2 linked regions of the Callithrix jacchus genome follow. The protein of the gene in region 1 interacts with the protein of each later gene in a pairwise test. Links are inferred from orthologs where the notes say so. Each region holds a gene or a part of one and is shown on either strand. Other genes may lie near its edges.

What was found.
Region 2: the proteins of NDUFAF3 (region 1) and NDUFAF4 interact in binary tests that used the Homo sapiens proteins (3 or more experiments, as listed by UniProt). The two-hybrid records come from large-scale screens. The link is inferred for Callithrix jacchus from reciprocal best matches to the Homo sapiens genes NDUFAF3 and NDUFAF4.

Annotation. Positions count from the first base shown.
Region 1 is NC_133516.1:31,651,293-31,653,960, forward strand, and holds NDUFAF3 (NADH dehydrogenase [ubiquinone] 1 alpha subcomplex assembly factor 3), read left to right. Parts: upstream 1-922; 5' UTR 923-946; coding exon 947-1,023; intron 1,024-1,145; coding exon 1,146-1,338; intron 1,339-1,499; coding exon 1,500-1,566; intron 1,567-1,674; coding exon 1,675-1,775; intron 1,776-1,854; coding exon 1,855-1,971; 3' UTR 1,972-2,085; downstream 2,086-2,668. UniProt on the Homo sapiens protein: Essential factor for the assembly of mitochondrial NADH:ubiquinone oxidoreductase complex (complex I).
Region 2 is NC_133505.1:102,832,441-102,834,859, reverse strand, and holds the end of NDUFAF4 (NADH dehydrogenase [ubiquinone] 1 alpha subcomplex assembly factor 4), read left to right. Parts: intron 1-1,127; coding exon 1,128-1,415; 3' UTR 1,416-1,839; downstream 1,840-2,419. UniProt on the Homo sapiens protein: Involved in the assembly of mitochondrial NADH:ubiquinone oxidoreductase complex (complex I). May be involved in cell proliferation and survival of hormone-dependent tumor cells. May be a regulator of breast tumor cell invasion.

The DNA of each region.
Region 1 (2,668 bases):
GACTGTGCCGAGCTCCCTGCTCGCCCAGCCCCGCGAGTAGCGAACGCAACAATGTTCCCCTGGGGCCACGACAGAGCCAGCGTGCCGAGATACCCAATCCCCGCGCGGGCGCCAACGACTCTCGCGCCAGTAGGCCCTTGACTTGGTTCAAGACGGGGGACTGGGGACTCCCAGGACGAGAGCAGAGTGAACGAGGACAAGGTGATGCTCCACGCGTTTCTACTTCAAGTCTGGTCCGGTTCTGCCCGGTCTGGCCCAGCCGAGCAGCAACCCCAACACTACCACAGCTTGCCCTTCCGCTTGCTCTGGCTGCCCGCAGACTTGGAGCTATTTTAAGGCGAAACCACCTGGCCACGCCTCCTGGAGCACCCGATAAGCCAATCCACGCTAGGCCACGCCCCTCTAGCGCGCAACTGAGAGGCCAACGGTCGCGCGGGTGACGGTTAGGGCGGGACTTGCTTCGGTTGTGAGCCGGAGAAACTTGAGCTGGTTGCCCCGCCCACGGTGCCTGAAGCCCCAAAGGCTAGGATTAGGGGCTCGAAGTCTGGCATGGACCGCCTGGCCAGGTGTTCGGTTCACGATTAGGTGGGTGGCTGCCCCGCCTCGGGAGCGCGGCTTAATAGTTGAGAGCCGGGGGTCCAGGCCGCAACTGCGGCCCACGCAACGCCGAGGGCGGCCACACTACCAGGTGTTCCACTCCCCTGGGACTGTGGGCAAGGACCCGGGGCGGGGCGAGGGGCAGGTGATGACATCGGAGCTGCGCCGGAGGCCGGGGGACTTGTCCTCCTCCCAGGACAGATGATATTCGCCGGCTGGGCCGGCCGAGCTGTGCCGTGCACTCCGGGACGCAGGGGGCGCTGCACCCGCGCTGGGTCAGCCTCCGCAGGGCCCCGCCAACCCGGTAACAACCGGCGTCAGTGACGACTTCGCCGCGCGTCGATCAGCCATGGCCACCGCTCTTGCGCTACGCAGCTTGTACCGAGCGAGACCCTCGCTGCGCTGTCTGCCTGTTGAATTTTCCTGGTGAGCTGGACCCCTCACTGTTGACCATCCCACCCCCTAGGGCCGGCGACTGCCACCCCGCACCTTCTGGCTTCTCGGGCGGCCCGTCCCGGCCCTGTGCCCCTGACCCGTTCCCTCCGCAGGGCCCCGCGACGGGGGCATCGGCTCTCGCCAGCAGATGACGAACTGTATCAGCGGACGCACATCTCTTTGCTGCAACGCGAAGGCTTTCAGACCATGTACATCGACAGTTACAACAGCCGCGGCTTCATGATAAACGGAAACCGCGTGCTCGGGCCCTGCGCTCTGCTCCCGCATTCGTTGCTGCAATGGAACGTGAGTCCTGACCCGCTGTGAGGAAACTGAGGTCCAGAGTCACAGGTCCTCAGCCTGCTTGTGTCCCTGTAGACGTGGCTTTCCTCTATCTCCTGTAGTGGATGGAGGTGGGGAGAAGCTGCGTAGATTTGTCGTACTGAATAAATCATCTCCCTGCACAGGTGGGATCCCACCAGGACATCACCGAAGAGAGCTTTTCCCTCTTCTGGATGCTGGAGCCCCGGATAGGTACTGGGGACAGGGGAGGCAGGGCAGAGGTGCTTTGAGCCCTAAAAGGCAACCCCCACTCCAACCTCTCAACAGAATTGTAGACTAGTCTCATCCTCACTTCCCTAGAGATTGTTGTGGTGGGGACTGGAGACCGGACTGAGAGGCTGCAGTCCCGGGTGCTTCGAGCCATGAGGCAGCGGGGCATTGCTGTGGAAGTGCAGGACACGGTGAGTCCTATAACTGGGGCCTGCTGTGGGGAGTACAGGCCTGGCACTAGACAGGCTGATTCTGGCCTTTTCTTTGCAGCCCAATGCCTGTGCCACCTTCAACTTCTTGTGTAATGAAGGCCGAGTAACCGGAGCTGCTCTCATCCCTCCACCAGGAGGGACTTCACTCACATCTTTGGGCCAAGCTACTCAGTGAACCACCAGGAACTGACCTGCTGACTACACTCTGCCAGTTCCCAGTGCTTTCACCCTTATCTCCCCTTTGGCATTTATCTTGCTTACCAACATAATAATTTATACACTTCTCCCATTTTGTATCAGGTGTGTTGCTGGCCAGGTGCTGCTGGCTCACTGAGCTCTTGGAGAAAAATGTGAAGAAACCAAGGGGTCACTTTTTCATCTAGATTACTTAGGATAGTATGTTTACCTGTTCTAGACCTTGCTCACATGCAGATTTCAGAGGACCTCAATGCCTTTTCTCACAAAATCACTGATTTTTTTTTTTCTCTGAGACAGAGTCTCGCTCTGTCACCCAGGCTGGAGTGCAGTGGTATGATCTTGTCCCACTGCAACCTCCACCTCCTAGATTCAAGTGATTGTCCTGCCTCAGCCTCCTGTGTAGCTGGGATTACAGGCCCCCACCACTGCACCTAATTTTTTTTTTTTTTGACATGCTGTGGGGTGATTTCTGCTCACTGCAACCTCTGCCTCCCGCGTTCAGGTGATTCCCCTGCCTCAGCCTCCCAAGTAGCTGGACTAAAGGTGCATGTCACCACGCCCAGCTAATTTTTGTATTATTAGGGATAGGGTTTTAATATGTTGCCACCTGCCTCAGCCTCCCAAAGTGATTACAGGCAAGAGCCACCACACCTGGCCGAGAGCTATTTAGGTTA
Region 2 (2,419 bases), on another chromosome or scaffold:
GCATTATTTCTTTTAAACATTAACTGAAGAGAAATAAACTGGTAATAAAAGTGGTGTTGGTTTTGGGTTTGGTCGGTATGTTAAAAATGGTACTGGCTATAGCATTTGTTTGACCAAAAAGCAGCAGTAGGCACAGTGCAGTAAAACAAAGGAAAAGAAAAAAAAAAGAATGCTAGACATGGCCAGGAAACAGGATTGGAATGCAGAGCACATGTGTGGAGGTTAAGCTGGGATGGGACAGATAGAAGGAAGGATGGGTGTGCATAGGTTGTTTTATTTATACTGGAGTGTATTGGAGGCATTTTTTTCTCAGGGGAGACAAGATCACTATTCAAGGTGTTTGGGAGCTGAGTATGAAATACAAAGCTGGAAAATGAATAGATGTTATCAAGCCAGCTGTTAGGGTGGCATCAGAATCCTGCCCTTTTAAAACAGGTGCAGTTTTTAATCATTTTTATTGTGCTTTTAAAACACATGAAATAATGTGGTTAGTGGATAGTATAAATTTGATATTATTTTCTAGAGCTACCTACATTTCTTAATAATGATAGAGCTATAGTTATGAGAAGGCAAACTGGCAAAAGTACCATTAAACTATGGCTCATTATAAGAAAATGAAGTTTGGGAAATGACGTATAGTATTTGTGTTAGTTCATTCTTGCACTGCTCTAAAGAAATACCTGAGACTGGGCAGTTTGTAAAGAAAAGAGGTTTAATTGGCTCACAATTCTACCAGCTATACAGAAAGGATAATGGCTTCTGCTGCCGGGGAAGCCTCAGGTAATTTATAATCATAGCAGAGGGGGAAGCAGGCACAGCTTATACAGCCAGAGCAAGAAGAATAGGGGATGTGGGAGAGGTGCTACATACATTTAAACAACCAGATCTGGTGAGAACTCTATTACGAGAACAGCACCAAACGGGGAAATTCACTCCCATGATCTAGTCACTTCCTACCAGGGCCTACGTCCAACATTGGGGATTACAATTCTGTGACATGAGATTTGGGAGGGGATGCAGATCCAAATCATATCAGTTGTTATTTGAAGAGGAATAGTGTAGATTTGAGAAGTGTGAAAGTAGATGTCAAATCTTTTCTCTCATGCTTTTCTTTTGTTTGATACTAGGTAAAAGCTGCTGAAACACCTCAAGAGCCAGAGGAATTCAGATTGCCAAAAGGCCAACACTTTGATATGATAAATATTAAGAGCGTTCCAAAAGGCAAGATTTCTATTGTGGAAGCATTGACACTTCTCAATAATCATAAACTTTATCCAGAAACATGGACTGCTGAGAAAATAGCGCAAGAGTACCTTTTAGAACAGAAAGATGTGAATTCCCTTCTTAAATATTTTGTTACTTTTGAAGTCAAAGTCTTCCCTCCTGAAGACAAGAAAGCAATACAACCAAAATGAAGAAAAGCACTAAAATGTCCTATGTGTACTCCTCATCTTTCATCCTGTATATTTTCTCATTTTTAGCATATTAAATTATGTTAATTACCAAGTGTTTAATGCTCTTATTGTGAGAACATACTCTTAATGTTTATTGAGCTCCCTGACTTTTCAAGATTGCCATAGCATGTATTTTGTTTTTTTTAAATTTTGTTTAGGCATATTTCATATGTAAATGTCAGCATGACTATCAGCACATCTGTACCTTTATTTTAAGTAAAATAATTAATTTGTTGTTTTAGGCACATCATGCCAACTTTTAGATTGGTCATACGACCCCTTGGGAAATGTTCTGAATCCCTCATTTAAGTTTTACTTTCCATGTTAAGTGTTTCGTTCATTCTTCACATGTGATAGTGAAAATAAAAGCTTTCCTGACTCAAAACTGTCATTTTTTGGGTCAGGGAAAGACTTGATAGCAAGGTACACTAACAATATTTCCCAAATATAGGCACACAGGAGAAAACGAATTAATAGAATCTAATTAAAATTACACCAGGGAGTAAGAAGTATTGAGGATTTATTTTATTTTGATTTGGTTTTAAGTATGGAATAATTGTCTTTACAGTTACAAAAAGTAATTTGTGGTGTTTACAAAATGTTGGGAATTTCTGCTTTGACAAATAGGTAAGTCCCATGGCTTCAGAGAGGCAGAGAGCAGTAGAAACTTTAGAAAAACGTACATTTCTCTGGATTTAACATGGAAATAGAAAAATTTAAAGAATAACTTAAAAACCATGAAAATGAAATTTGGCGATTATATATGCTAAATGTTAACCCTAGTTGAGAGAAGAGAGAAAAAATAGCAAGTAGAAGCAGAGAACAGGATCATTGGAAGGGACCTGGGAAATTGCTGCTTCATCCGTTTTAGCAAACTTGTTAGCACAGCACGTAGGATCTGAGTGTGTACGAGTTTAGCTCTGCCTAATATATTATTCCTTGTGGGATCTTTGGGGGACTATATC